2 linked regions of the Arabidopsis thaliana genome follow. The protein of the gene in region 1 interacts with the protein of each later gene in a pairwise test. Each region holds a gene or a part of one and is shown in the gene's direction. Other genes may lie near its edges.

Region 1 (3,529 bases):
TCCATTGATGATCGTTAGTATCTTCGTCTTCTTGGTCTCTTCTATACCCTCATCATCTAGGAAATTCTCAACAAGTTTCTCTTCCGAAGGGTCTCTGAATTCCGGTTATAATTATTTTTGCCATGAAGCAACATATCAGCGGAAGGAAAGCAATCTTCAGCATTCATAGTTAAGTAGTTTTTATGTTTATATCCACACCAAGTTCCACTTAGTAGAGCCTAGCAATCCTAAGGTAAGCAAATCTGACAAGGAATTCTCACAAGCTTTACCTAATGGCATTCGCAAACAAAACACTTCCAAGTTTCTTTATTCATCCAGTTTAGATAAAACAAAGTTAAAAGCAGGGAACTTAGAGAGTTTCATGAGAAAAGTAAACACTTTTGTTTCCTGGAAGTGTGATCAAGAATGTTGGAAGGGACATTACTAGTCTATACTCAAGCGGTTCAAAAGAAAAGAAAACTTAGAGAAACAAACCTTATGTACTTGTAATCACCTGATAAGAGAGAGGGCAAGAGATACGAATTATGATCAACCTGTGGACTAGAACCACATTACTAAAACAGAAATGAAAATAAAACCAAGTACCTATATCATGGAGAAGAGCTGCAAGCTCCACCTGCAAAGTATCAACAGAAATGGTTCACTCTAAAGTAAAAGAGCTGAAATTTGACAATAAACAGCTATAGCTAACTAGAAGAACTAACTAGAAGAAGGTTCATCAGGCTCAGCTGAACTAGAACTTTGAGATTTAGGGATTTTTCAAACTCACAATTTCCATGGAGTCAGAATTGGAAGAGAGACCTTCCTCGCGAGCAATGGAGAGAGCAAGGTCTCGGACCCTCCACACGTGCCAGGCGTCATGAGAAGCATCGTTTCCTTTCATCGCCTTCTCCACCAGCTCCTCCGCCTTCCTCATCGTCTTCGCCGCCATCTATCTCTCTCTCTCTCTCAACTGCTCAGTTTCGAAGATTGGAGAGATTTTGATTTTGCAATTTCAGCGTCGGAAGCTCTGTTTTAAAATTGATTCAAGTTTGCCGTCTCGGCTCGACGTTGACCACCGGAGTCAAAGAGAAATTCGGGGAAGGAATTTACTCATTTTACCTTTTTACCCTTACGTATGAAAGAATTTATTTATTTATGTTTTTTTAAAAAATATTTAAATTTACAGAGATATTTTCACATATTATTGTAGATTAAACTACACAAACTTTGCCACTTTCTGTTAATTATTTTAAAAATCTCTGTACTGATTGTTATAGAAAACCTATTCTTTACATTAATCGCTGGCTATATAGTACTGATTTGTCAAGTTGAAAGGTCGATTTATATAAACTTATGACTTTTGGATACATTTTTCAAAACAAATTTGATCCATTGAAATGGAGATTGTCTTTGGTGTTTTCCCTAGTAAGATTTCAAGGTTTATCTTTGTCCCCGAACCTTTTCAATTGCATTGGTTATGAAGTGGTTTATCTGCTTTGGTGTTTATAAATATTCGGGATTTTAGTTGTTTCTAGAGAGGTAGTTCAATAATTGATTATTTTCCAAGTTTCTGTTCTTAAACTCTTTTTTTTTTTTTTTTTTTTTTTGTTCTATGGAATAGATTGTAATCAAGTAACAAGGATGTCATCAAATCACTTCTTGGCCACGAATGAGATACTTAATTAATTTGAATATGTGATCAATTTGTCACTTAGACATTTTACCGTGATATTTGGAATTCTTAAATATCATATGTGTAATTTGAATATGTGATCACTTCTTGGCAAGAAGACGTCATATACTCATATGTTTTTCTTCTGCTTGGCATGACATAATTGTTCTACATGCTACGTTTGTATATGTGTACGTGATAGTAAAAAGAGATTCGTGTATATTTAGGTAGACTATGCATATATTATATAAATATAATGTGTATCACAAATTCACAATCGATTATTCAATAAACGACTAAAATGGAAAGTAGTATCTCGGATTTTATATTATTTCTATAACTTTTGTATAAGACAACACATGTCTTACATTTTTACGAGAAGCTATCTTTGATTCATTGAATCATTCCGAAAAATATTAATTAATTGGAGGTGCATTTAATACAACATTCCATAAACGTACGAAGAAAAGTAAGACAAATTAATTCCTTTATTATTACATAATCATGAACGACTATAAATCCCTCGACCAAGGAAAAACCTAATGATATTTTCATCTCTCCCCTCTCGGTTAGTCATGAAAGATTTGTTCATGGAAGGAGAAAGAGAAACTTCATCGATGACTTGCTTGACGCCCAAGGATTCTGTTCAAAGCCCTAACATGTTGGTTAGACAACCAAAAAAGGAGACAACAACACAAACCCCTAAAACGACACGAGGAAGACAGAAGATAGAGATCAAGAAAATCGAGGAAGAGACCAAGAGACAAGTAACGTTCTCGAAACGCCGTCGTGGGCTGTTCAAGAAATCCGCTGAATTGAGCGTTCTCACGGGCGCAAAAATCGCCGTCATAACGTTCTCTAAATGCGATAGGATCTACAGATTTGGCCATGTAGACGCATTGATAGACAAGTATCTTCGTAAGAGTCCGGTGAAGTTGGAGGGATATTCCGGTGATAACGCGGCGGATGAGGAAAGTAGGAGACCGTGGTGGGAGCGTCCGGTGGAGAGTGTGCCAGAAGAGGAGCTTGAGGAGTACATGGCAGCATTGAGTATGTTGAGAGAAAATATAGGGAAAAAGATTGTGGCGATGGGTAACGATCGGACGGTTGATATGGTTCCGGCATGGCCAATCAATGTGATGGGATGGAAACCAACGATGGATATGCAAAAATTGGAAAATCTGACGGATGGGGTTAATCGATGCCGTGTAGGTCAAAACGGTGATTGATTAGTCCAGTCGTGAAGTATTCCTCTAATGAATTTCTAAAATATTTTATTTAGTTTTGTTAAGTTTAATTATATGATTTTATGCTATTGATCATCAGATTGTTTCATCTCTTGTATACTTCATACTTTGGAAATTCAGTTGTTTGGATTTTTAATCTTTGAACCATACATATTACATAATGTAGAACAGTATTCTATCAGTTAAACCAGCTTTCAATTTTTTTTAAGATTTGACCTGCACATGTACCATATTTATATACCACATGAAGTATTTTTGGCAGATTGAAACTGCATTTTCTCTTGGTCGTTTTCTTATTTTATGTAAGGCGTACAAGAAAAAGCAAATAACGAAGGAAACAAGTGATTCTTACAATTAAGAACAAACGGGAAAGGTTGGAATGCTGGTTCCTTAAAACAAGGAAACCAAGTCACTCTTATTTATTTGCACGACACAAATTGACACAGAATAATAACATAGACTAAGTCTTAGCTTAATCCCTAAACATGCAATTAGGTTTTCTCTTTCACGTGTTTGACCAGCCGACTCTCTCAGGCCTCAACACATCCAGTCTCATCATTGACCAATGTTGATAATTTCTCCACGGACAGCATACTCATATTTGAGAACCTGTGTGATCATTTATATC
Region 2 (4,028 bases), on another chromosome or scaffold:
CTCATCTCTTTCAAGGGTTTAGGCTTAAAAGCTTCCCTTTTCTCTTATACACTGTCGTTAGTTTTAAATCTCATTACTTATCATCAATCTGTTCAAACCCTATCTACTTTTAACATAGAAAAAGATTCCTTTCCTTCCCTCTCTACCCTTCTCTCTCCATCTCTTACACTATTTACACATCAACAATTTGTTAAGTAGCAATTGAATATGAGAGAGAGAGATATAGGGAGAGAGATTGTGTGTAGAACTGCAAGTTAATAAAGAATGTGGGGGTAAAGAGTACACAGTAGATGAAGACAATGAGACTTAGTTTTCAAACTTCTTCTTTGCTTTGGCTTTTATTGGTCATATCAGACTCTTTATTTATAGATGATCTACTTAGCTCTCTGTGTTGATTCTTAGCTTTCAAAGGTAGCTTTTGGCCTCACCCTATATACTCTATACAGGTTACTGCACATATACATTGGTATGGACTTGCCACTAGTGCCAAACCTTTTGCACATTAATTTTCACATATATATAAGTAGATTTAGATGGTGTATATATAAGACAAAACAATAACTGAAAATCTTAGGACCAAGAATGAAGGCATAACCAAAGAAGGGGGGAACCACATTGTCAGTTTTTATGGAGTTTTTGGGGGACCATTAGTTTCGTTTCACTCTTTCTCTTTCACTTATTTAAGCTTAACTTTGACAAATACGTACCCCCACCTATATTACTACACGAAATTACAATATATTTATATATAAAATCTCATCAATTTCTTTTCAACTACATTTATGTTTCCATGTTTATAAAATTCAGTCAATTAAGACGGTGGTTTAAATGTTAAAGGCCACAAGTAGATTTATGTGAATGTTAAAAAGTCCCAAGTTTAGAAATTCCGTCAAATATAATTAATCCATGCAGATTTTGATTTACCATTTATTGGTTTACACTAGATTTTCAAAAGGAATATTTGGTGCATTCACACAAGGCTCAAGATTGTTTGTTTTTTCTTCAAAAAATATGATATTATCAAAACCTCTAATTTTGTAGCAAAATCAATTTTATTTAAATCTAAAACATGTATTGTCTTGGTTGGTTCACATCATCTTGCAAACTCTGTAACACTATAAATTGTTACAATTTGTATGTTTATCGAAAAAGCGCAACGATAATATTGACATAAACAAGTAGATTAGGTGTCATGATAGTATATATATTATAAAAAAACTAATACGAAAGAAAAAACAGTTTCCCGAAAATAAATTAAAAATTCCAAGTTTGACCCTTGGACACAACAAAATATATCAACCTATATTAATGTTAGAGAGATGATGGATGATGATTGATGATGTGCAAATGAGACAAAATTATATCACACTTTCCTTTTCAATCTTTAAATTCCAAAACAAAAGGTACTGTTGGGTTGCTCCCTTATTAGGTGAAAAAAACCTCACACAACACAGACAATTTCACTCTGTCTCTTTCACTACACCTCTATATCTCCCTCTAGATACATATCCCTATTTATATATGTATTGTTTCGAACACTGCGTGCTCTCACACTTTGTTACACCTCCAAAAGACAAAGTACATAGAAGAAGAAACTTCTTGTCACGCCTCTCTTACCCCTTCCCTTGTGGTCCAATAAAACCCTAATTTTCTTTTCTTTCTTTTATCCATTGTATTAGATCCTATATCTTTCTTCCTTATAGACCATCTCTCATGTCTTCTTATATATATTAAGATATTCACAAGAACTACAAAAGAAAGAAAGGAGATGGAGTGGTCAACAACGAGCAACGTAGAAAACGTGAGAGTAGCTTTCATGCCACCGCCATGGCCGGAGTCTAGTTCCTTTAACTCGCTCCACAGCTTCAACTTTGATCCTTACGCAGGTATATTCACACACCATCGTACCAAGTCTGCATATGTTACATGCTTTCGTTTTTTTTACTTTTAGATGTGTTTAATTCCATATTTGACGAATTCATGAACTTTAAAACCTTATTTATCCCACTTGCAAATGTTCTCAAGAAGTTTTTTTTTTTCTGTGAATGATGTAAAGAATTTCAAATATGACGTCCCTAAACTTCATTCCAAATGTCAACTAAAACGTTACTTTTCTGATGAGAAGCTAAGATTTTCTTATCTTCAGTCTACAATATCTATAAATAAAGTTTCTTACTTTTTTCTTGGGATCCTACAAAAACAATTTCTTGGGATCCAAATGCAAAAAGGTAAAACGTCACTTTTGAAAAGTTGAGATTCGTTTATGGTATAGTTCACTCTAAGAAAAATGGTTGCGGACATAATTTTATTCTTCTTATACTTTTGGAAGTTTTTTTTTTTTTTTTTTTTTTTTCGTATAATGATTATATTGTTGCGCTTCTATGTTTAAATATTTCCTTTTATCCTTTCGGGGCGTTTGCTAAAATGTTTAACAGCAGGAAATTCATATACGCCTGGCGATACACAAACCGGACCGGTTATCTCTGTACCGGAATCAGAAAAGATCATGAATGCGTACCGATTTCCGAACAACAACAATGAGATGATAAAAAAGAAGAGACTAACGAGTGGACAATTAGCTTCACTTGAGCGAAGTTTTCAAGAAGAGATCAAATTAGATTCAGACAGGAAGGTGAAGCTGTCGAGAGAGCTCGGTCTGCAGCCACGTCAGATAGCAGTTTGGTTCCAAAACCGCCGTGCACGGTGGAAGGCGAAGCAGCTTGAGCAGTTGTACGACTCGCTTAGACAAGAGTACGACGTCGTTTCTAGGGAGAAACAAATGTTACACGATGAGGTTTGTGTATTATATTGCACAAAATTAAAATCATGGGATCTAATTACATATTATCGTTTTCTTAATTTATCCCTTAAAGTCTTGATTCTATCAGATTGCCCCCCTTAAAAAATTGGATTGGTGGTGCAGGTGAAGAAGCTGAGAGCTTTACTAAGAGACCAGGGTTTGATCAAGAAGCAAATCTCTGCCGGGACCATCAAAGTTTCCGGTGAGGAAGACACGGTGGAGATTTCATCGGTGGTGGTAGCTCATCCAAGAACGGAGAATATGAACGCAAATCAAATCACCGGAGGGAATCAAGTTTACGGTCAATACAACAATCCGATGCTGGTTGCTTCCTCTGGCTGGCCGTCATACCCCTGATAGATGTTGCTGATCTCAGAGAGAGGGAAAGAGAATGAGAGAACGAGAGAAAGAGAGAGAGAGAGATTGTGTCAAATAGAGCTTTAGACTAGGACTTTAGTAGTGTTATAGACTAAGACAAGCTTTCTCTCATTGTACGATCTTAAAACATAAATGGCACGTTCTTGGATGCGAGATTGAGTCTGAAAATTGTTGAGTTGGTTTTGTTGAACAACTATACTATGAACACTCAGAATTGGCGAATGTCCGAAACAAAACTAGCTATAAACCAAAATAATGACGAGAGTAAACGAGATTGTACAAATCTTGACACTGATGCTCAGCATTTTCCGCTTCCCTTCACCGAACTTGAGACCTCTTGACGCAAAAAAAAGCTGCTTAGGCTTTGTGTGTGTGTGTGTGTGTGTGTGTGTTGTAGCTTGGTAAAAAGCTAATCTTTATATGTACATGACTGTCTCCAGGTAAGCTTTGATTGAAGAAGGCTTTAGTTGTTAAATATTTAAGAACTTTACATTTCGAATCAGAGATCATAAAAATTGTAACCTTGACAGTATTCCAATAACTGTCTCATATTGATAAAACATCAGACGCAAAAGCCATAAAGTGATCAGAAGTAGTACGAAGCTGCCACTCCATTGTTTATATTTGGAACCGTCGTTGCTAGTTTGTTTGGGCCTAGTCAGGAGTTATTTTGGGCCTAACTAAGAGTCAGTGAATCTGAGCTTAAAGTTTGGTAAGATGTGTAACTTGTAATGGGCCAATCAAATTTTGAACCAATTTTAGTATTTTACAAACCAACTTCGAATAGCTGTCTTTAAACTGAAATATACTTGATCCTAAACATTGAACACATGTATAAGTAATAACTAAA

The links. The genes of interacting proteins can lie anywhere in the genome.
Region 2: the proteins of AT1G17310 (region 1) and HB51 interact in a two-hybrid assay, tested with the Arabidopsis thaliana proteins (one large-scale study listed by BioGRID).

Annotation. Positions count from the first base shown.
Region 1 is NC_003070.9:5,927,368-5,930,896, reverse strand, and holds AT1G17310 (MADS-box transcription factor family protein), read left to right. Parts: upstream 1-2,063; 5' UTR 2,064-2,196; coding exon 2,197-2,883; 3' UTR 2,884-2,972; downstream 2,973-3,529. Other genes in the region: AT1G17330 (Metal-dependent phosphohydrolase), read right to left, coding at 1-94, 475-493, 586-616, 770-931; AT1G17300 (uncharacterized protein), read right to left, coding at 3,457-3,510.
Region 2 is NC_003076.8:1,003,217-1,007,244, forward strand, and holds HB51 (homeobox 51), read left to right. Parts: upstream 1-1,565; 5' UTR 1,566-1,768; coding exon 1,769-1,886; intron 1,887-2,438; coding exon 2,439-2,794; coding exon of another isoform or gene 2,795-2,902; exon of another isoform or gene 2,903-2,923; coding exon 2,924-3,157; 3' UTR 3,158-3,415; downstream 3,416-4,028. UniProt on the Arabidopsis thaliana protein: Putative transcription factor.